Caenorhabditis elegans: one gene and its partners. The gene in region 3 interacts genetically with the main gene of each other region. Each region holds a gene or a part of one and is shown on either strand. Other genes may lie near its edges.

Region 1 (7,831 bases), on a different chromosome or scaffold from region 3:
GCGGAGGGGGAGGAAATGTACAGAAGTCGCGGATTTTTTCAGGCCTTTGGGCCTAGATGAAGTCCTAAAAAATTGGGCCTCAAAAATTAGGCCAAAGGTTTAAAAAACCCAAAATTTTTGGCCTAAAACCCAATTTTCAGCCAAAATTTCAGGAACCTTGAAAACCTAATTTTTAGCCAAATTTTCACAGAAAAATCCAGGGGGGAGCCAGGTGGGGTAAAAAAAAAAGAGTAAAAATTCAAGTTTTTCGAGACAAAAAAGCTTGAGGGGACAATAAAATAAAATAAAAGAAGAGCAGCAGACAATCGAGTTGGGGGGAAATGCTTCTACAACACAGTTGCTATGGAGACGATACGGGCGATGGAGGGGGGTGGGGGGGGGAGGGCTCAAAAGAAAAAATAATAATTTTTTTCTTAATGATGATAGGTATGGAGAGAGAGAGAGACAGAGAGAGAGGAGAGGATGGATGTATAAAATCAATGGAAAAGAAAAATCCCACGGAAAATGAAAAAAAAAGAAACATTCGAGAGAAAATTCAGAACCAATATTAAAATAAAAAAAAGAAGTTTAAGCCGATGGGCCAGCCACATCACCGCTTGTCGTTGAAACTTCACCAGTTCCCATTGGACCGTCCATCTCAAGTGTTGGAAGAGGTCGACCAGATGGAAGACGTGCATCCGGGTTTCGGAGCTCATCAAAGAATGCGTGCTGGCAGGCCTGAAAAAGACGAAAAACATATATATATTGGTTGAATTGTTAAAGTAGCGTGAATTGGGGGCGATTTTGTCTCTCAAAAATTTCAAAATACAGTCTCAAATTCAGAAAAACGAGCAAAATCGATATTTTTGTCCATTGTGAGTTCCAAATTCCCCATGTTTGAATCCACGTGGAGTCAGAAAGTCCCATTTTGATTTGATCTACGAAAAATGCGGGAGATGAGACGCAAACATCTCAACTGATTTCACATGGTTAAAAGCGTGCAGACGTTACAATTTTTCTGGGAAAAAATTCCCGCATTTTTTGTAGATCAAAACGCAGACAATTCCCTCCAAAATGCAAACTCCCCAATCGATCAATCAACGACATCGAACTCCGCCCACTTCATCTGATTGGTTGAAAAGTGGGCAGGACGAATCGCTGATTGGTCGGGAAGTTCTCGTTTTGGAGGAAATTCAAAATGGAAATTTAAAATATACTAGTTAGTCACAATAGGGAAAATCGTGTTTTCGAAAGTTGAATTGTTCATTTTTCTCGATTTTGCTCGTTTTTTGTGGTTTTTCTAAATTTAAAAGTGTTTTCAAGCCAATTTTCTAATTTTCAACCATCATACCACGTAAATGTCTCCATCTTTAAAATTACGAGAACATCATAATTTTCTGGAAATCTCATTTGTAGTATGGCCTCTAATATTCTTGCAGTTGACATTTAGTTACTAGTTTCAAAAAATAAAAGTACGGATAAATTGTGAGCCGAGTTTTTTACTGCTCACTGCTTGTCAGCGAGTTCTATAAAAATTCCAAGAAACATTTCTTTCCAAGTTTTAGCTGAAATTTTGTTAAATTCAAGTTGAAATTTCAGTGGGATTTTCAATTTTTATGTCTATTTCAGATTTCACTAACTTTGAATTTATAGCTTTTTTTTCAAAATTAAAAACCACGGTTTCACAAGTTATCTTTTTCCAAAAATTGGAAAAAAAAGCCAAAATTCTGCAATTTTTTTTGTGTAAAAATCTAATGCTCCCATCTGCTTCCATAAATATCTTCCATATTCGTGCCAATTTGAGAAATCTAAGAAAAAAAACCGGGAAATGGCTTGATCTATGGGAGAATTACAATGAGGAAACAAAGATTTCAACGATAGATATTAAGGCGATTTTCAAAAGCAACCAACGAACGGGGTGGACTTTCTAAGCGGTTTTGTGAGGGGGCGATCGAATTTGTGAACAATGAAGATACTTTTTTTTGGAAAAATACAGATAAAATCATTGAATTTCGTTTCAAACTGGCTGCTTTTTTTTTGAGCGATCGAAAATCTGCAAAATCTGCAATTTTCAAAATGGAGGAAAAATAAGCTGACCGAATGGCCGAAATTTTTTAAATAAATTTTCAGTCAACTGTCTAATGTCTCAAAAATCACACTCAACTTTCTCTTTTTTTTTCATTCATATTACGGGAACCGAAAATTCTGAGAAGAATGCGTATTACACATCATAATTGACGCGCAAAATATCTCATTGCGAAAACTACAGTAACCCTTTAAATGGGTACTATAGCTCCGTGTGGCGATTTACGGGATTGATTTTCGATATGAATCTATTCTATATTTTCCTTCGTTTCTTCGTATTATTGTCTCATTTTTTGATTAATAAATGCAGAATAAAAATCGAGCCCGTAAATCGACACAAGCGCAGCGCTACAGTAGTCCTTTAAAAGGTTACTGTAGTTTTCGCTACGATATATTTTGCGCATCGAATATGTTTTTTTAAGGATTTTGTGTTCCATAATAACTTTTGTGAGCAAAAATTCGCATTTTTTGAGAATAAAATTACAGAACATTCGCTTTCAAAACCGAAAAACAAAAAAAAAGTCCATTTTTAGACAATTTCAATAATTTTTTGACACAATTTTAATATAAGTTTTGTTTTTCCATTTTCAAGTGTTTTTAAACGTTAAAAACTACCGGAAATCAGTTTTTGACATTTTTTGTGCAATTTTCGCCATTTTAATTATCTCGATAAAAAGTCGAAAAATTCAAACTTCCATTAATTTTTAGAGATTTTTCTCATAAAATTGTAAAATAGCCAAAATGATTAAAATTCCTGAATTTCGCAGTATTTTTTAAACTTTTGGGCAATTTTCTCAAGTTTTCAATGACAAAAAATCAATTTTTTTCAATTTAAAAGGTTTTTAGTTGAAAAAAGAGTCGATTTTCAGCAATTTAGTGTTGGGAAAACATTTTTAATTCATTTTTCGGCCTTTTTTCTACAAAAACCCCCAAAAAACTCACCGCTTGAGGTGTTGGCCGAGACGTCGGCGTATACTCGATAATCTTCGAAATGAGATCAATCGCTTCAGCAGGCGTGTGTACACGGAATACCTTATTCCATGGATGTGCCTTTATCTGTGGAAATTTGAATTCCTTGTAGTTCGGATTCATACTTTGAATTTGTTCACGAGTCGGTGTTCCAAGAACTTTAATAATTTCAACGAGTTGATCAACTCCAGAGTCACCAGGGAAAATTGGTTGGCCGAGAAGAAGCTCTGCCATTACAGTTCCAGCCGACCAAACGTCAATCGAGTTCGTGTAGTTTGTAGCGCCGAAAATGAGCTCCGGAGCACGATAATATCGCGAGCAAATGTACGAGACGTTTGGCTCATTGCGAACCAAATATTTGGCAGATCCAAAATCACAGAGCTTAAGCACTCCGCTTTCCGGGTCAATGAGCAAATTCTGAGGCTTAATGTCACGGTGACAGATTCCAATGCTATGAATGTAGGCCAATGAACGGAGAAGCTGATACATGTACAATTTGACATAAATCATTGGAATTTGTTGTCGCTGCTTCGAATAGTGCCGGGCAACTCTGCAAAAATTAAAAATTTCAAATAAATTTCGCAAAACATCAAGTTTTTTTGTTTAAAAATCGATTTTTCTAAATTTTTTCAATTTTTACATAATTTTTTCCATAAATTTTAGTCAAAAATTGTCAAAAAAAAATTTCTAGGTTTTCAACTTGAAAATTCAAAATTATAAAAAAATAGAATATTTTCAATTTTGTAAAGAATTTTGCAAAATTTCAAGTTTTTTTGTTTTAAAATCGTATTTTCTAAATTCCAAGCTATCAGCCATGTAGTTTGTAGCCTTTCTATACGTTTGGAACGCATTTTTGAACTTTTAAATAGCTTTTTACATAAATTTCAGGAGGAAATTCGTGAAATAGTGCATTTTAGTCAAAAATGTTGCAAAGAAATCTGCTTGAAATCGCCCTGTAGCGCTGGAATTCGGGAAAAATCAATTTTTATCTTAAAAAATCAAAATTTAGCGAAAAAATTCAATTTTCGAACCAAAATTTCACAAAATCGACGGAAAATCAAATTTCCATGAATTTTTGTCAGAAATTAACAAAAAAGGTTAAAAAAATCAGGCATTTTTTGATTATTTCCTTTAAAAATTTACATTAACATCATTTTTAAACAGTTTTTCACAAAAAAAAACATAAAAATTCAGCTTTTTATTGAATTTCTACTATTGTTTTTCAAAATTTTTAAAAATATCTTTAAAAAAGAAATTCGCAATTTTTATTTAAAAATTTCCAAAAAAATTTTTTTTTTCAATTTTTAAATAAGAAATTCTCTTTATTTTTGAACAAAAAAATTCCGCTAAAAACTGAAATTTTCCAGAAATTTTTAAAAATCCTAATAAAAATAACCTGTAGACAGTTTCAGGAACATATTCGAGAATCAAATTCAAGTAGAGTTCATCCTTCTTCTCGCCGCTCGAATAGAAAAAGTATTTGAGCTTCACGATATTTGGATGATTCAATTTTCGCATAATCTGTAGTTCACGATTCTTGAATCGTTTGTCCTGAAGAACTTTCTTGATTGCAACCATTTCATTTGTTGTAGAGAGTTTGGCAAGGAATACCACTCCGAATGATCCATTTCCAATCACTTTCTGATCGTAGTACGAGATTTCAACCTACAATACATTTTTTTTTAATTAAAATTTGAATTACAGTGTTTTTTTTCGTTTGGAGATTTTTTAATAATAATTTTTTCACATTTTATCAGCTAGTTTTCCAGCAAATTTCCTTTTTTTTTTTTTGAAGAAATTGATATTTTAAGTGCTTGAGTAAAATCGTGTACTCCACGAGGAAAAGGAGAACAATTTTGTCAACCTATTTATTACGTGTTTATCCACAGATGAGAAAAATCGCCATATCTGCCGCGCAAATGAACCCGCGGGAAGAGATAAAACTACTGTAGTTTTTAACCAATTTGTGTAGATTTACGAGCTATTGCGTCATCGTTGAATTTAATTTGCAGGCGTTTTTCTAATTTTTTTGTGTTTTCTTTTAAGATTTATTCAATAAATAGATAAATTTCAATATAAAAAAGAGTGAAACACGCCTGAAAATTAAAAATTGCGGCTCAAAATTAAATTCAACGATGACGCAATAGCTCGTAAATCTACACAAATTGGTTAAAAACTACAGTAGTTTTGTCTCTTCCCGCGGGTTCATTTGCGCGGCAGATATGGCGATTTTTCTTATCTGTGGATAAACACGTAATAACTCATTTATTGTGTTGTACTAAATATCGAAAAATATATTTGTATCACTTCCAAAGAGTTTTTTTTTGTGAAAATCCTCATTTTCATGCATTTCCACCAGAGGTGGGCGGATATTTTTTCGGATATTTTCTAATAATGAATTTATCAATAAGTATTGATGTAGTTATTCTGGAAGAAATGTATCCGAACAAAAGAGTAACTATTAAGCAATCGGATATTACGGATATTACGGATATCGGATAATGGACTTGCATATCGTTTATACAGAAAACTTGTAGAATTTTTTTAGGTTTTATCATATTAAAATGTTGCTTAATAGTTACTCTTTTGTTCGGATACATTTTTTCCAGAATAACTACATCAATACTTATTGATAAATTCATTATTAGAAAATATCCGAAAAAAATACCCGCCCACCTCTGATATCCAACTTCTTTTCATCCAAATTTCTCCGAGAAAATTAAAATTTCCTCACTCAAAACCAACCTGCTGATCAACACCATCCGTGGCGACTGACGCGACGACCATCGTCACTTGTTTTCCGCTTTTCAGCGAGCACGATAGTAACTGCTTATTCATCACACCACACTACTGATTGATTTGATTCTTGTGTGTGTGTGTGTATATATGAGCTCTGTCCAATAAATGAGAAGAGCCAGAGATTAGATGATGAGGATATGATGTGGTTTTTTGAGAGGGAAAACGGAGAGAATGAGGCTATTCACCTGAAAATAAAAAATAATAAAATATTTCATTTGGGCGTTGGGTTTGAAAAATACGAGGAAACGTATAAAAATGGGTGATATTTAAGGCAAATATGAGGTGAAATGGAGTAACATTTCAAAATTCGATAAACTTTTAGGAATTCCTAGCCAAAGTGGGAACAGGGGTGGGCGGCAAACGACTTTTTCTGGCAAATCGGTAAACCGGCCAATTTCCGACGAATCGGCAATTTGTCGAATTTGTAGGACTATTAAAGAGCTGTTAAATATGGATTTCGCCAAAAAACTTTACTGGAAATTAGACGATTTTTGGCATTTTCAGCCCATTTTTTTAGGATTCGCTTCAAAAAATCCAAAATAGTCGTAGGGGAGCTCTCATTTTGGAGGATATTCAAACTAGAATAGAATTTAGCCAAAAATTGAAAAAATCGAAGTTTTAAAAGTAGTATTTCTCAAAACTTCTAAAGTTTTTTCTAAAGCTTAATGTAATGTTATTAGCTCGAAAAAGTTGGCTAACTCACTGTAATAAAAGGGAAACGCCAAAACTGCCAAATTTTTAAATATAGAAATGAATTTTTTGAATTTTAAAATTAAAAAAAGGGAAGTAAAATCTAATCCGACACGTTTTAATGTACGTTTTTTTCAAAATAAATAAATACATATTCATTCGAAATTGAATTTTTCTAAATTTAGCGGCAATAAAAAATATATTTCTAGAAGAAACTATATTTTTGGTACTTATGGGTTTCGTTCCCCCCAAAATGATTTTTAATTATTCAACACTACCTTTTTAATTTTAATCCACACGTTATTGTTTATTTTAATACTGTTTTCATTTTTACAAGGCTTAGAAAATCATTTCCCTAAGCCTGGGAATGAAAAAAAAGTTCACGTATCAATTAGAAAATATGGAAATCATTTTGGGGGGAACGAAACCCATAAGTACCATATTTTTTGATTTGGAATTGATATAATTGCTATTTTCGTAAGTATTTCAAAATTCTGACTGAATCAAAATAAAATGCTTCAATTGCTCATCTTAAAATAGCATGTAAGCCCATTTTGCTACACAATTTCAAGAAATTTCACTAGCGCGATCGAAATAACCAGTTTAATAGGAAATTACTCATATTTTCAACGGAAAATGCTCAAAATCGCCAAAACTCACCGCTTCTCACTAACGATTGAACGAAAAATGACTAAATTTCGGTGTTGTTTTTTTTATTTTAAAAAACTAATCCAACACGTTTTAAAAATAAATAGAATTGCTTTTTATATAAATACAAAAATACATTTTATTTCAAAATTGATTTTTTCCAATTAAATTTCGTGGCAATAAAAAGGTACGTATTTTTTTAAAATGTTGTTCCTTGGGAAAAATCAAAAAAGATTTTGGCTAAACAGGATTCTATATTGATCGTAATAGGGAATATATAAATATATATACCGGAAAACTGGCAATTGTCGTTCGGAAAATTGTTTTCCGGGAAACTGCCGGTTTGCCAGTTTGCCGGAAATTTTCATGTTCGGCAAATTGCACAATGTCAATTTGCCGAACATCAATTTGCATATATGTATCTTTATATATATATATATATATAATATATATGTGTCAGTCAATATGAGGGGGTGGAAAAGAAGGAAAAACAGCTAAAATTGAGTGTGGTGAGCGAGTGAGCGCGAGCGCGTGTCTGATGGAGGAAATGGGCAAAAATATGGTGAGATGGAGAAGAAAAAGGAAATGAAAAAGAAAAAAGAAGAAGAAGAAATGCGCTATCAATGTGGAAATAAGCATATTCAATGTTCCCATGGTTTCT
Region 2 (4,689 bases), 5.0 Mb from region 3:
TTGGATAACAATAAAACGAGTAAGCTTTCAATCAATTTTTATTCAATTTCTTATTCTTCTTTATTTTTTAAATTTATTCGTCTTAAAACATGAAATGATATTTATATTCGTCGAGCTTGTGTTCTTTCGAATTTCTCGGAAAATTCCGTTTTTCCTGAAAAGTTTTAATTATCTGCTGAAAGAGCTTACCTTGGATGCTCCAACATATTGGAGCACTTAAATTTATCCTTCCAATTGGTTTTTTGTCGTCAGTTCAGGATCCTTGTCGAGCATTCAACAACTCCTCCATTATTCCATGAAAGTCCAGAGATCGGGATGTCATGCCCAAGTGTCTTCTTTTGGAGGCCCATTGGGCTTTTGTGCCATCGAATTGTTGGCGATCGATTGAACTATCCGATATGTGAAGTTTTGTATTTTTTGGAAGTTTATATAGACATATTTTTAGGGTAGGAAAGTTCAAAAGGGTGTTACGGGAAATAGCATTAATTTTTTAAAAACTAAATTCCTGAAAAGTTTGAAAACAAAACAAATTTTCTAAAATGATGAACTTGTTCATTTTAAAGTTTAAACGGAAAAAAATTCGACAGCAGCAGATGTGAGAGACTCAAGCGCATCTTTTCTGGTCGTTTTCAGAAAAGGTCGCAAAAAACAATGTGATGAGAATTACGACAATTTATTGATTACACACAAAAAAGAACGGAGTGGGGCTCTGATTTCTGGGTGGGGAAGTTATGGGAGGGTATTGAGAGGCATTTGGAGCCAAAAGAGAGGGGGTGGGTGTGTCAAGGTGAGCCGGTTATACCCAAAAACATGTTCGGCCACTTGACTTTTTCAGTATTTTTTTTAATTTTTGAGTGCCCGACATTGGGACATTTTCATCATTACGAAGAAAGGAAAGGGAAAAATGGTAGGGGGGAATAGAGAGAAAAATATATTGGTATGTTGATAGGGAGGCATTCAAGAAAAAAAGGTCAAAACGATTCGAAAAATGGGGGAATAAAAATCCTACTAAAATGGAAAAGAAGGAAATAAAAGAGAGTAGGAGAAGATGATGAGACTATTTATAAAACGACAAATAAAAGTGCTGAAACTGCGAAAAGTAGAGAGTATTCATCTTTAGTTAAAAAATTGGTTAAAAGATAAAATACAACAAAACATTCCACAATTTTCAGCACACAGTTAAAGAGGCATGTTAGCCCAAGAAAAGACAAAAATAGTAGAGGGGAAAAAAATGAAAAGAGTAGAGAGACGAAAGAAAGGATAGTACATGATTTAACATGGGCTTTTTTGGATTAAAAAGCCTCAGGACGGCAACAAAACGTCTTACTGTGGAGTAGTTCCTCCTGGTGCAACTCCAGCTGGAACTCCAGCTGATGGAACGGTAGCTCCCTGTGTAGTAGTGTTGGTTCCGGGGACGCCACTGGATTGCGATTGTTGAGCCTTTTGTTTGAGCATTGTCCAGTCGAATGTGTAGTCGTACTGTAAATATGCATTTTATTATATTTTCTTAAACAATGTTGCTTTTTTTAAAATATTCATTCAAGTATTAATTATGTTTGAAAAGGTTTTCTGTAATTGTAATTGTTTTAACACGAACCTGATGATTGAGCGTTCTGAAGAGAATTCTGAACAGTTGCCGCAAGTACATGTAATCTGGAGATTCATCGAAACGAAGTCCTCTTGTGTAGCTCAAGTACATTGGGAACTCAGCTGGGAATCCTTTGCACAAGTGCTCGACTGATGTCGTCATTTTCTGAAAACATTAAGTTGAAAAATCGATAAAATGACAGGATCACACCACAAACCTTCTCAGAAATCTTCTCATACTTTTGCTTTTTCGTGGCGGCCTTCAATCCTTGCCATGGAAGAGTTCCACGGTTGAAGTACATCAAAACGTATCCAAGGGATTCCATGTCATCTCTGAAACAGTAAATTTTAAATTTAAAAAAAATCTAAAATACCTTCTCGACTGCTCAATTCCCAAGTGGGCGTTGATGGATGCGTATCTGGCGGTACCGGTCAAGTTCTTGTCCTCTCTGTATGGAATATGAGTTCTGGTGCGTGAATCACGGTATCTGAAAATAATTTGATGAATATTTGTTAAACTATGATAGTGAGTGATTACTTTTTGGCCAATCCGAAGTCGATCAAGAAGAGCTTGTTGCAGTGACGTCCTATTCCCATCAAGAAGTTGTCTGGCTTTATGTCACGATGAATAAAGTTCTTGACATGCACATATTCGATACGTCCGATCATCTGGTCAGCCAGCATGAGAACAGTCTGAAAAAAAATTATCTTGATGGAAACTTCTTTAATAATGAAAATTTGTGAGAAGGATGCACTCATTTTCGAAATCGTTTATTATTTATTTACTCTGAACTCTGAGAACTCTATTTCTATGACCAATACTCTAACACATTGGCAACAATGATCATTAATACGTTTCATGTGCGAATTTCAAAGTAATTCTTGAAATTGAAATATTCACGTGAAGTAATTGCGCGGTGAAGCAGAGGAATCCGCTGCTGAAACTCATTTTAAGCTACTCGTCACCACTGACCTTCATGGTAAATCTTCTGGAGCAGAAATTGAAGAGATCTTCCAATGAAGGACCGAGAAGATCCATGACAAGCACATTGTACTCTCGCTCGGTTCCGTACCTGAAATTACAAGTTTTAGAACAATTTAGACGCGGTAAATATGTTCCTAGGTCTTTTTTATAGAAAAAGGTTACCATCTGATATGTGGAATTCCGACTCCTCCCTGTAGGATACGATACACTTTGGACTCGTACAGCAACTGCGGGTGCCTCGCCTAAAAATCGATAATGAATGATTATTCGAAAAAGAATATGGAAGCTGCTCAAACTAACCCGATTGCTTTCCAGCTTAATGGCCACCTCCTCGCCGTTCGTCACGTTGATCGATACATAAATGTCACCGAATGATCCTGATCCGATTTTTCGTATGAGCTTGTATTTTGTCGCAACGATGAAGTCCTTAACTGACATCACACCTGCCATTGTTTGCTCTGATCGTGCTGAAAATTCATGATTCACTATCGTGACTGACTAAAACTAAACAAAAAATGGTAAAAATCGATACCTTTGATAGCAGAACACGAATTGAGTGCACGAGGGCACCTGGTGGTTCAAGAAAGAGGAGCTCTACCTGAAAATATGCTATTTTTGAACGGAAAATAGAGAAACGAAAACGGTACGCGGTTGAGAATGGAACAGAAATGATGAAATACGATATTGTAAACGAATTGGCGACAAAAATCGATTGGATTGGGTAAACAACACCTTTTTTTTATTGAGAGCCCGGTAGTTCATCGAATTTCTGACAGAACATAAATTGAAAGAAAATGAAAGATTCAGGATTTTTCATCGACTACCAATTGAATTTAGCATTCCATTAGAAAACAAAAAAAGGTATTCGTGATATCAAAAAACTTTCCTCATAAATATTCCGAAAATCTAGGATAATCTACGTTAGACGACATAAAATTGCGGATTTGAAAGAAGTGCTGCTTATTTTTTTTAAATAAAAACAGACAACTTGAAAAGAAAGAATCGAGAAGAAAGGAGAAAAATAAATTGTTTCAGGTGAAAACAAATTGAGCTAAATTGGAAAATCGATAGCTGAAAACTTCAAAACTTGAAAATCTAGCTGACTACACTTTATTCAAACATAGAAAGTACGCATGTACATTTAAGTAATACTTCAGAAACCAAGACTGACAAACGTGCGCGAAGGACAAGCTTTTCAAGCTGCAGGCTAATAATCACTGCTAATTCTTTACTCCTGTTCTCACATTAAATTGTAAAACGAATAAATTGCGAATATTAAGAGCCATTAATACAAAAATCGATCAAAAAGTGAGCGTTAACAATTAAAATTTAAAAAAAGCGATCGAAAATGGCTAAAATCCTAAATTTCTCGGCTTTCTTGCACTAAAACGAAGTGCACGCTTTGAAATCTTGTGATAATCGTCCAAAAAGTTCATTAAAATTATTAAACATTAGAAATCCCCGTCTGAAAACGTCAGTAATGACTCACTTGCCACCTAATCCAACTCACAAGACAGCCTTTATTTGCTCACTTTTAGCCGTTTTTCTTCAATTTCAAACCAAATATTAGATATACCGACCACTTTATCACAATTATCAAATAATTCCCAGCCGAAAACACGAAAAACGTCGAAAAACGAGCAGAAATCGATGAAGAAACGGGGCGAAAAGGGTGTCGGGCACCGATTTCGTCAGTCACACAACCGGGAAGGCCGACCGCGACGCAGTGTTCATTGCGTCGCGGTTGCGCGCTAATTCAAATTCGACTCGTCGTTTTCTCTCGTTCTCTCGCATTTTGCATCAGTTTCGCCCATTTTCCTCGGTTTTCTTTCACTCTTTTTCGTCTCGCCTCGAACATTTTTACGTTTTTATGAACGAGACGAGTCACTTTGTTCGATTAAATGAGAAATATCACGTGGAAAATGGGGAGAACGCTGGTGGATTAACAAAATAACGAGAAAAAACAAATTTTAAGAGCAATTTCGGAAAAAACACTGGTAAAGGTTGAAATCAGCTTTTGAAAACTCAATTCTTGCCCTTTTCCCAAAAAATAATTCCTTTGTCGGATCGAACAAAAAACCGGTTTTCAAAATAAAAGTTTACACCCAACACGAGAG
Region 3 (7,607 bases):
GTACGTCCGGTCCAGTGAGAGTTTTCAACTTATTTTGGAAGAAATTTTTTTTTGACAAAATTTTGCAATTTCCCACGCAGAAATACGGTATGCCCCGTATCTCGCCACGAACATAATATTTTAAATTGACGGAAAGGTGTGCGCCTTTAAGAAGCACAGTAACCATTTTCCGGTTTTTTTTTTGAAATTGCCTTTGATTTTTACTTTTTTCTCCCAAAAACGAGAAATTTAATATAATCCATCAAAATCTTTGTGAACGAGAGAAATATAGTGAAAAACTCAAAGAAAATTGCGAAATGGATTACTGTACTCCATAAAGGCGCACATCTTTTCGAAAAATCGTGAAAAATTGCATCTGACCAACAGTTTTGCGTGGAATCTTCCTAGATTCAAATTTCCTATGAGTCATAAAACTATCATTTTATCGGACAATAACTACACGTGTACCTTGTTTCCATATGTTCTACCAATATAATTTGTGTTCATATGTGGCCAGGTACGGGAAATTAGAACACGGACTGATTTAGGAAGGTTCAAATTCGAGAACAATGGACGACTTGCTGCACGAAAACGTGGATTATTCTGAAACCGCCTATGTGATCACTATCGATTTAGCACTTCGGTTTTCTTTTTCCGTTTTCCTTTATATTCCGTATTGTATGCCGACAATAACGCTTTTTCTTTGTATAAACATTTCCAGAAGCAGAGCAAATTTGTTTATTCCAGAATTGACTGAATATTGAAATAATGTTTACAGACATACTGTAGATTTTTTTCTATTCAAACATGAATACAGTTTTTCGTATTTTTAATCTTCAGATAAGTTTTGTGTGTGTTTTTGAGAATAATATTTAAAAAAGATAAGCAAATATCAGAACTACGGTAAGCGAAGGGGTACGGTCGTCAATTGCGGACTTCCGAGCTGTGCACGGCGCCAAAATTTATTTTGAGTTTTAAAATGATTTTCTTTGTTTTTTTTTCTTTTTTTGACACGATAAGAACATTTTTCTGTATTTCTAATATTTTAAATGAGATCGTAATAAGTTTATTTAGCTCCATCACATTATTTTCGGAATATTCATCGCTTGAAAACGGCGTAAAATAGGTTCCAAGTAAATCATTGCAAACAAATCTCCGTTTATCGTTCTAACAAAGTTTTTCGTTCACTTTCTTATGTAAATCGTTTTCCCCACTTCTTCTTCACGGGAATGATCAATTGAAAGGCCATAAATTGGTTGTTTTCTCCACATTTCGCAACCAACATGCAGCTGTCGGATAGGCAATAAAATAATGTAATCAATGAGTTTTCCGATTTATCCTAACAGTTCTTTTTCTAGTGTTCCTATTCGAAAAAAGTACTGTTATCCTTCTTTTTGGACCGCCCATCTCAGGTGTCAAGACAATCGCAACACACTCAGAAAATGGGCGGAGTATGCCACCCGGCCTTCATTCGTCGCTCCTTGTCTTCTCCATTTTCGTTTTTTTCCTGTTCTCCGTTCTTTTTTTGTACTTTTGTGATAATGCTGAAGTGTTCTTTTTTTTCGCTTAACCGCATCTCTTGATTTAATTCATATTTTCTTTCAGATTCATGTACAATAACACCAAGAGCTGCTCTAACAACTAATAATAACAGAATCTCGAACAGCGAACACAACAATGCGAGTTCTTCTAATTTTACTCGCGTTTTTTGCGCCAATCGCCAGTCAACTTATGGGTGGAGAATGCGGAAGGGAAGGTGCTTGCTCCGTCAATGGAAAATGCTATAATGGAAAACTGATTGAGACATACTGGTGCCGGTAAGCATATATTTCATTCTCCCATGTCAATGTTATTCATCCGCTTTCTCATGAACCGTGACGAAAAGAACAAAAAAAAGAAAGTTTGGGCAGGTGGTGGTGGTGGGAAACAGGCGATAGATAAACAAAAGCTTGGTGTAGAGAACATTTTGAATAATATCCGAAAGTTGAATTATCACTGTCCATATTTCCCTCTAAGACATCATTAAACGCCACCCGGCTTGCAGAATGGGAACACAATGAACAGCAGGAGGCTGTCACAATGTAAAATCTCGTAAATCGTTCGGGAAATCTAAAAAATTGTTATTTAGTTTTCCCTTTTCTCTACAAACAATTCATTTTTCTTATCAATAACTTTGAGTTCCAAAGGCAAAATTTACAGCCGTTTACAGCCATCTTCCCAGGGTTGTCGGCGAATTTATATGGACGTTCATAAAACAATTGGATTAGCGTGTCGGTTCTTTAATCTTGTCTTTTCTTATTACTATCTAGCTCGTTTGATTAGTTATACAGAGAGTATCAACGTATTTATCGATAGGAAAATTGCGCCATGATGCTCTAAAATACATAAAATCGCTCGATTTATCTGAAAATAACACTTATTTCAGCTTAAAAATGTGAGAAAATGGTCCAAAATTGTCTGAAAGTTGTTGAGTGAATTATCGAGATTTGTTTTCTGATCACTTTCACGAATATATCAGCTGAAAAATTGTTATTTTCAAGTAAATCGATATATTTTGCCACGATTTTTGATTAAAAATACTGTAATTTATTGATTGTCACCCACCACTGGCCCACAGTCATAAATTGTCTCAATTGAATTACTTTTCAGTTTAAAAATAATTTAATCAAATTTACAGTTGCAAAAAAGGATTCGGAGGTGCTTTCTGTGAACGTGAATGCGATTTGGATTGTAAACGAGGCGAGAAGTGCATCTACGATGTTTATGGTGAAAATCCGACGTGTATCTGTCAAGGTAATTTTGTGAATCCTAAAATCTGTTAAATATCATAATATTTTGCCCGAAACGACCTATTTTCATAATGGGACTTCTCAAATCTTTAAATCAAATTATCGCCTTTTTGCATAGTTTGATAAATACTTTATCTCGATTCAAGTGTATTCTAATCAATCATTTTAAGATTTTAAACGTTTCAAATTCAAAATTTTGTTCCATGTTTTACTTCCACCTTTTTCTTCATCTGCCCTTTTTCATAGCGGCAATCTTTTTCACCACATCATCCATCATCACACTGCGAGTGTATTTTTCTTTGATTGTGCCCGACTTGTACGCAATTTTTTGTTTCAGGATATATCAAAATTTCGAAAACTTATTAGGGAAAACACGCGACCATACGTATAATAATTCTCCCGGGAGATCCCAACATTGACAAATTGTACCGCATTCGTGGTATCCTATTTTTCATTTCTACGCTCTCAAAATGACCGCTAGTGATAGATAGCTTCTACTAGGTCATATTCGCACATCTTCATCGCCTTTGTCATGCGATTTATTGCAAATGTTCGGTTTCATTGCGCGGGGGCAGTAGTATAAATCAAGCAGATGTTGTTACACAGACAGCCATGAGAAAATATTTATAAGTTTTATTATTCAGATTGCGAAGACGAGACTCCTCCAACAGAACGTACTCAAAAAGGCTGTGAAGAAGGCTATGGAGGTGAGTAAAGTTTGGATAATGTATGATTACTAATAGTCAATGACTTTGTATCACAATTATTGTTGTTTTGAGCAACAATTGACAGCTATTTTAATTTTTAAAAAGTTGCAAAATTGTTTTTTTTTCAATTTTATATTTTTCGAAAACACAAAGGACCAATGAAATTATCAGATTTTAAAAAATATAGTAAAAAATAAATTAAATATATTTAATTTAATTTAACATATTCTAATAAGAAATGCGCGAGATCCAAGTCTCCCACTGTGATAACTTTTTCCATCTGTTGTCGGAACCGATTTGATCTCAAATAAATCAAAATATTGCGTGTTCTTTTTCTCTATTTTACCGTAATGAGATTGACACCTTTCTCATCTCAAAGGAAATAATCGGCGGTTGGGGGTAATGAGGTGTGAATGGCTATTAGGAAAAACAAACTTCCGCCGGAATTTGAATTTAAATTCCACTTTTTTTAAAAAGAAGACAAAGGCCTATCCGTGATTAATACATTAATATTTTCAGGTCCTGACTGCAAAACTCCTCTATTTTCGGGAGTAAATCCATGCGATTCGGATCCTTGCAACAACGGACTCTGCTATCCATTCTATGGTGGATTTCAGTGCATATGCAACAATGGATATGGAGGATCGTATTGTGAAGAAGGAATCGATCATTGTGCTCAAAATGAATGCGCAGAAGGTTCAACGTGTGTCAATAGTGTATACAACTATTACTGTGATTGCCCAATTGGAAAATCCGGTCGATATTGTGAACGAACTGAATGTGCTTTGATGGGAAACATTTGCAATCATGGAAGATGTATTCCGAACAGAGATGAAGACAAGAACTTCAGATGTGTATGCGACTCGGGATACGAGGGAGAATTTTGCAATAAGGATAAAAACGAATGCCTCATCGAAGAAACGTGTGTTAACAACTCTACATGTTTCAATTTGCACGGTGATTTTACTTGTACCTGTAAACCTGGATACGCTGGAAAGTATTGCGAGGAGGCTATCGACATGTGCAAGGATTACGTTTGCCAAAATGATGGATACTGTGCCCATGACTCGAATCAGATGCCAATTTGTTATTGCGAACAAGGATTCACTGGACAACGATGTGAGATTGAGTGTCCTTCAGGATTCGGGGGAATTCATTGTGATCTTCCACTACAGAGACCACACTGCTCTCGGAGCAATGGAACGTGTTACAACGATGGAAGATGTATAAATGGTTTCTGTGTCTGTGAACCTGATTATATTGGAGATCGATGTGAGATTAATAGGAAAGATTTCAAGTTCCCAGATATTCAGTCATGCAAATACAATCCGTGTGTGAATAATGCGACTTGTATCGATCTCAAAAACAGTGGATATTCATGTCATTGTCCGCTTGGATTCTATGGATTGAACTGCGAGCAACATTTGTGTAAGTTCGAAAATTTTATTTTTATATACGACAAACGCGCCTTTAAAGAGTACTGTAGTTTCAAACGGTGAAATTTTCATCAATTTTTCAGCTTTTTAACATCAAATCTACATAGACTACACAGACTTAAATTTTGAAAAATCAATGGCAATCCCGGAGCAAGGAGAGTTTTTAAACTACAGTACTCTTTAGGAGCGCACATTTTTTCGCATTTAACAAAATTTTTGTCGTGGCGAGACCTGATACCGTATTTTTAGCTCAAGATTACTAGGCAGCATTCTTAATATCAACAAACTTCAGTGTGCACTCCAACTACATGTGCTAACGGAGGTACTTGTGAAGGTGTGAATGGCGTTATCAGATGTAACTGCCCCAACGGATTCTCTGGAGATTACTGCGAAATAAAGGATAGACAGTTATGCTCCAGACATCCATGCAAGAACGGAGGAGTTTGTAAGAATACTGGATATTGCGAATGCCAATATGGATACACTGGACCCACTTGTGAAGAAGTTCTAGTTATCGAGAAATCAAAAGAGACGTTAGTTTTCTTGGATACTATAAAGAATGCAGCCCAGAAAAATAATTTATTGAAGTAAAAAGCGGTTTCAATGAAATAAATACCTAATTTTAGCTCAAATCTCTAATTTTGCCAGCTTCGGTTTGTGTGACACGGGGAAGGTGTTAAATAAAATTTCTTTAGCTAAAATAAGGCTGTCTTTTTCCAAGATTTGAACTGCCATGATTTATTTGGAATTATTTTTTTGAGCCACTTGGAGTATAATGACGATGAAGATAAAATTCCTTCAAAATTTGTATTCAAGGTATTAAATGTGAACATTTCAGTGTCATTCGTGATCTATGCGAGCAACGAAAGTGTATGGATCTTGCTTCCAATGGTATTTGCAACCCGGAATGCAATTTGGAAGAATGTAATTTTGATGGAGGTGATTGCTCAGGAGGGCAAAGACCATTCTCCAAATGTCAATACCCTGCAAGATGTGCTGATCAATTCGCAAATGGAGTCTGTAATCAGGAATGCAATAATGAAGAATGTCTTTACGATGGATTGGACTGTCAATCAGAGTTATTTCGATGCCCAGCTCATATTCGGAAACATTGTATTGAAAGACGAGGCGATGGAGTTTGTAATTTAGAATGCAGTTTCATTGGATGTGGTTTTGACGGTGGAGATTGCAATAACGGAACAGAAGCAATAATCCTCAGTGATATTCGTATAAAAGTTCAAATTGATCCTATTGAATTCCAAGCTACCGGAGGAGAAACACTAATGCAAATCAGTGCAAATCTTCGAGCAACCGTACGTATTCAACGGGATGAACTTGGACCTCTTGTATTCAGATGGGATGGTGAACATGAAATGGAAAGAGTTGAGATGAATAGTAGCAAGCTCGAAGATCAATTTGTACTTTCGCATCACGTTCGCAGGTATCGGCAAGCTGTTGTCACTGGAATTGTCTTGTATTTGGAAGTCGAAGAAATATGTAAACCCGAGTTTTGCCGATTTTCAACAGCGCAAAGTGTCGTTGATTTGATTGCTGCTGGACTTGTGAAGTCTGATGTAAGTTATTTTTATGTGGAGTACGGCACCGGGCTGGAAACAAAATAATTTGGACCGAAATAACAAAAAAAATTAAATTTGTGAAAAATCCAAAAAGGTAGATTTCCGGTTCACTTTTCACTTTTTAGAAGAAAATCATCCGCGTTTTGCTAAAAATATTTGTAAAACATAAAAAAATGTTTGAAGTACAGAAAATTAGTTTTTGAATCCAAAACCAAAAAAACAATTTTTCGTCAAAATATCAAAAAGTCCCAGCACTGGTGGGGCTTAAAATCTATTTTTATGGTGATAAAATGACCAAATATAATTTTTAAAAATTAGAAAAATTTTATAGTATATTTCGAGCCAAAAAGCGGTGAACCTTTAATTGTTTGAGTTATGGAAAATAATAATTAAAACATTTTCAGGGTCGTATGTCTCTGGGTCTCCCAATTACGGAAGCAATGGTAGCTGTTCCAAAGAGAAACGAAATCGATGAAGGATGGTCTCGCAGTCAAGTTATTCTGTTTGCATGTATTGCATTTTTGGCTTTTGGAACTGTTGTCGCTGGTGTTATCGCAAAGAATGGTCCAGAAAGAAGTAGAAAAAGAAAAATGGTGAACGCAACAGTCTGGATGCCTCCGATGGAATCAACGAACGAGAAAGGTCGTCGGAATCAGTCAAATCATTCGAGTCAGTGCTCTCTTCTTGACAATTCTGCCTACTATCACCCCAATACCAAGAGACACTGTAGCGATTATAGTACCGGCTACAATGGAGAACAATATTCACAGATTTATCCACAAACTCTCGCAAATGGATATCCCGGTGATTACAACGAATTGAACTTTGACTTTCAATCTGAGACGTTCGCACCAGCTGATCTACCAGCCGACGAAATGTGAGTGAATCTTTATAGTTTTATTATAATTATTGTTATGTTTCTTTCAGCCCTCTCCATGTTCAAGCTGCAGGACCAGATGCGATTACAGCTCCAATCACAAATGAGTCAGTCAATCAAGTGGATTCAAAGTATAGACGACGAGTTCTGCACTGGCTTGCTGCCAATGTCAGAGGAAAACCGGAAGATGTCATTACAACAGAGGCAATTCGATGCTTGAAGGCTGGAGCCGATGTGAATGC
Region 4 (4,401 bases), on a different chromosome or scaffold from region 3:
TTCTTCTTCAACCAGCTGTACCTTTTCATGATAAATGGCCATGTCATGTGCTTCAAAGACAGAAAGAGAAAAGGAAGAATGTGTTCGATGACCGGCAAATAGAAAAGAGTGAGACGTTTGGAAGAGGGTGGCGGAAAGATGATAATAAATAGAATCAGTCATATGTTCCGAGGTTTTACTCATGGAACGGTGACTCATGTGGAATTTCTGAGCATTTTGTAGAAATTCACCGTAAGAGAAATGATAGGATTTGATTACTTAGTGTCTAGAAGTCTTGAAGAATGTTATTTTAATTTAGGCATTATTCAATCATTTCATTGAGCTCTAACAATGTGAGTTCTACAAACAAAACAAAATGAGCTGAACACTTTTTGTGCTAGGTCGGTTTACTTCCTGCTTTCTTACCGCTGTAATAACATTTTATGACCCTTCCAAACTCGTGATCGGCTTGAAATTGAGATTTTCAAAATGAAAGTTTGAAAACCAAGTAAAAAAATTCGAGGAAAAATAATTATTTATTTTAGTATTTAAATTGTAATTATTCTAGACTAGAGAGGCTTTTACAGCTGCCAAATCTCGTCTTTCCACTGCTCTCAGTAAATTGTCAGGGACATTCGATGTTCGGATTGCTGCTGATCTGAAATTTGTGAAGGTGATTTTAACATATAAAGCTATAAACTAACCTCATAGTTGTCCAAATACCAGATGCATCATTTCCTCCTTTTTGCAATTCTAATGCAGATAAAAAATGTTTCAAAGCTTCATCATAAGATGATAATTGCATACAAGATATTCCCAAATTGTATCTTGCTCTGACATATGTTGGATACAATTTCAAAGCTTCTCGATATGCTGAAATGGCTTCAGCTGTGTGGTCACCATTGGCTAACGTAGCACCAAGACGATTCCAGAGACGAGCATCAGTTGGATTTTTGGAGATCGCCAACTTGAGAGAGTCGACAGCTCTTGCAAAATTGCGATTCAAGTTGTATAAAACTCCGAGAGCATTTTGAAGATCTGGATCTGGAGTTGCTCCTTGTTGCCGAGCAGCATCCAAGAATCTAGCCTCAACTCGATTAAAAGTGTCACTGTCCAGAAATGAAGAGTAGAGTGGAGGTGTGGTTGTCACTTGAGTCGAGTTTGAACCCTTAAAATATTTATTCGTGTGGGATTATTCTTGAAATAAAAATAAGAAATACCAAGTAAGAAGACATCCATTTATCCAATTGATGTAAAGCTTCATTTTCCATTCCTTCGTTCGCTTGACTGACAGACAAACCAAGAAGTGCCTGAAATAATTTTGATTTTATTGGAAGTTTTTTTTTTTTTTTCTTAATTTCTGTTCTTAAAAAGTTTTAAGAGACAGATATGAATTTTATCGCGACCTATCTATTTTATGGCATCAAATAATCAAATATTTTTCTCAAATTTTACCTCCTTGTTTCCAGCGTCAATCTGCAAACATTTTTGGAACGCTTGCATTGCTAACTGATCTTTTTCATTTTCAGCATGAGCCAATCCTAATTTACACCAGGCACGTGCATCCTGAGGATCTTTTTGAACTGCTGCTTCATAGGCAAGCATGGCATTTCCAATATCTCCATTTCTCATTAGATTGTCTCCTTCCATCAGTGGATCTGACATGGTTGTGAAAGGGTTTGCTTCCTGAATAGGAGGGTTATAAAAATGTGTTAAAGAAGACAAAAATCTTACCTGATAAACATAGTTTTCAGGACTTTGAAGAGATTCGTCCTTTTCCATATCTCTCTTAATTTCCTCCCATCTCTGTTCAAAAGCCTGTGCATCTTTCCAAGTGTTTTCCATTCCATAATTATCTTGTTGCTCCATAAAATCATCAGCCCAGTTTTGAGTCCCAGAAGATTTGGTTAAAGAAGTATCCACAGTATCCAGATATTCAGATGACCACATACCAGCATCTGTTATTGGTTGATGTGATGACGTGGATGTCATTGATGGAGCTTGAACTTGACGCCATGCAGATTCCATGCTTGGAGCACTAGATGTGTATTGTTGACTCCATTGACTCGCTAACTGGTTCTGAAGCAATCAATTGAAAATACCAATATATGAATGCATTAGAAATACCTGTCGCGGTTGAAACTCCTTTGTCCAATTTGCTGCCAAACTTGAGGATGCTGATGCCTGTGGTAAATTATTCTGCATCGACTTCATGCTGAAACTTGTTGGAGCCATTGTTCTCGCTTGTTGTCTTAAAAATTCATTAGCCATTTGTTCTCCCATAGAAGAAGATGGGAGAAGAGAAGCTGCAGCTAAAAACTTTTTTTTTTGTTAATTTTTACTTGAATATTTCCAGCTTACCATTACTCGGAGCGACTCTTTGATTGGATGTTCCAAATGTGTTAGCTAACCCGACAAGAGCATTCTGCTGTCCACATTGTCCTTCTACAACTCCTTTCATTCTGTAAAAAATTGAAGAATTCGAGAGTTAATTGTTGAAAAAAAGTAGAATTAAAAATGAAGAAAAATACAATTTACAAGAAATATATAAAATAAAGTGTGAATTTTGATTGAAAAAGAAAATAAGTGGGCCCCAGTGTAGTCTTTTCATCAAATTGATTGATACTACATTAGGATTTAGAGTGAAGGAGACGTAGTGATAAAAAGATAGTATTGTCTTATCAAAAAGGATACAATTGATGAAATTTAGATAAGGAACAACGGAGGTCGACTATCGATTTCTGAAATAACCGGGAAACGTTTATGGATTTTTTTTCCAAGTTTTCCTAGCAAGATTGAAAACGTAATAAAATAGAATACCTTATTGTAAGTTTCCAAATTTCAATCCTTCAATTAGATATTCTAGTTGCTAGTGGAGTTATCCTAGATCGTTTTAAATTAAGCAAAATGGATATTTTGCACTTGGTTTGATTTTCAACAACACGGGTTTCTGGCTCGACCCGTCGCCCCATTGCACACTTGCACGGGGGAAAAATATTTGATTGTGCAATAATAATAATAATTTTTCGTGTGCAAAAGACAAATTTTGCTCGAATGAAGTTGTGAATTTAAAGAGAGTTCCCCCATTATTCCATAGCTAGGATTGATGTCATCTGGATCAAAATTTCAAAGATATCGAAACTGGCAGGAAAAACATTATTAACCAAAAAAATGTCAAGACAACCTTATTCGTCGACTGCATACATTCAGTTTTTTCCCCTATTTTGACATATTCTGTATACCTATAGGTTTTGTAACTATAAAACATTCCTTGAATACTTTTTTGTATAATGTCATCATTATTATATTTTCTTTTATAAACAAGGCCTATTAAAATGTCCAATAAAACTACGAAGATATACACAAAAGGTGTGATTTTATAATGTATTCCCTATAATTTAAACGAAACGAAACGAAAACGGGCGGCCCCTTGTACTGACAATTGACGGCATAAATATGAAACACGAAATGGTCTTTACATTCTTACTGATGATGGTTAGACCAGAAGCTTCAACCTCCAGAATTCCACGTAGAAGAACCACATTTACAGTGGAACAACTATATTTACTCGAAATGTATTTTGCACAAAGTCAGTATGTTGGATGTGATGAAAGGGAAAGATTGGCAAGGATTTTGAGTCTAGATGAATATCAGGTTTCTATTGTTTTTAGAAATCTATTCTCTATTAAAATTGTTTGCGAAATTTATCCACCAGGCTGAGCTCCAGCAACTTCTACGTTAAGTCTAACATATCCGATTGTATGTTGTAAAGATGTGATTAGATCAATCTAGGAAAAAAATAAAAAATTTTTAAATCAGTTGTTATCATTCAATAATTTTCCGAGACGTAGCACATTACAGGTGAAGATTTGGTTCCAAAATCGTCGAATCCGGATGAGAAGAGAAGCCAATAAATAATAGTCAAATATTTATTTAATTTCATTTCACTGAAATAAATTTTGTAGTTAGAACCACTATTTCCAACATTGAAAACATCGCTTTACGGTTTTGAAAACTCCTCGAGAGCAAATTCCTGATCATCTGACACTTTTCCAGACATTAACCCATTGTCTTTTAACCTGACAAATTGTCGATTTCTTGGACAAACAGTCAAGTTGGTAGGCGAGTCATGGGGAGTACACTACATAAATGAGTTGTGATGTTTGATTTTTCTCTTTTTTGTATGTTTTGCATTGATTAGAAGCAGCCAATTCTTTCTTAAAAAATAATAAACTCATATTGTTTAAAAAATCATCTAGTGCATTTTAATTGGAAAAACTGGCCAAAACTTGCAAAAAAGCATAAAGTTATGGGAGACTTGAGAACGTATAGATTGAAAAGCATATAGGTTTGTGCACACGGCGCAACTTTTATTTTCACAGTTTACCTTTGAAAAGAACACATCTAGTAATACTTCCTTGT

What was found.
Region 1: changes in glp-1 (region 3) and gsk-3 together harm fitness more than expected from each alone (negative genetic interaction), as found in Caenorhabditis elegans (one large-scale study listed by BioGRID).
Region 2: changes in glp-1 (region 3) and kin-19 together harm fitness more than expected from each alone (negative genetic interaction), as found in Caenorhabditis elegans (one large-scale study listed by BioGRID).
Region 4: changes in glp-1 (region 3) and prx-5 together harm fitness more than expected from each alone (negative genetic interaction), as found in Caenorhabditis elegans (one large-scale study listed by BioGRID).

Annotation. Positions count from the first base shown.
Region 1 is NC_003279.8:12,817,402-12,825,232, reverse strand, and holds the start of gsk-3 (Glycogen synthase kinase-3), read right to left. Parts: upstream 6,018-7,831; 5' UTR 5,872-6,017; coding exon 5,779-5,871; intron 4,699-5,778; coding exon 4,430-4,698; intron 3,584-4,429; coding exon 3,007-3,583; intron 1,115-3,006; exon of another isoform or gene 1,061-1,114; intron 718-1,060; coding exon 568-717; 3' UTR 1-567.
Region 2 is NC_003281.10:4,083,467-4,088,155, forward strand, and holds kin-19 (Casein kinase I), read right to left. Parts: upstream 3,171-4,689; 5' UTR 3,105-3,170; intron 3,040-3,104; 5' UTR 3,023-3,039; coding exon 2,873-3,022; intron 2,815-2,872; coding exon 2,735-2,814; intron 2,661-2,734; coding exon 2,561-2,660; intron 2,281-2,560; coding exon 2,126-2,280; intron 2,076-2,125; coding exon 1,962-2,075; intron 1,921-1,961; coding exon 1,806-1,920; intron 1,754-1,805; coding exon 1,598-1,753; intron 1,480-1,597; coding exon 1,324-1,479; 3' UTR 537-1,323; downstream 1-536.
Region 3 is NC_003281.10:9,090,657-9,098,263, forward strand, and holds the start of glp-1 (glp-1/Notch intracellular domain), read left to right. Parts: upstream 1-1,584; 5' UTR 1,585-1,656; coding exon 1,657-1,796; intron 1,797-2,656; coding exon 2,657-2,772; intron 2,773-3,412; coding exon 3,413-3,475; intron 3,476-3,994; coding exon 3,995-4,903; intron 4,904-5,203; coding exon 5,204-5,444; intron 5,445-5,749; coding exon 5,750-6,485; intron 6,486-6,892; coding exon 6,893-7,365; intron 7,366-7,415; coding exon 7,416-7,607. UniProt on the Caenorhabditis elegans protein: Essential signaling protein which has a major role in germline and embryonic development; involved in cell fate decisions that require cell-cell interactions. Probable membrane-bound receptor for putative ligands lag-2 and apx-1.
Region 4 is NC_003280.10:8,702,864-8,707,264, reverse strand, and holds prx-5 (TPR_REGION domain-containing protein), read right to left. Parts: upstream 2,442-4,401; 5' UTR 2,441-2,441; coding exon 2,341-2,440; intron 2,292-2,340; coding exon 2,107-2,291; intron 2,059-2,106; coding exon 1,714-2,058; intron 1,666-1,713; coding exon 1,435-1,665; intron 1,290-1,434; coding exon 1,200-1,289; intron 1,148-1,199; coding exon 684-1,147; intron 638-683; coding exon 544-637; 3' UTR 505-543; downstream 1-504. Other genes in the region: Homeobox protein ceh-7, read left to right, coding at 3,436-3,633, 3,841-3,897.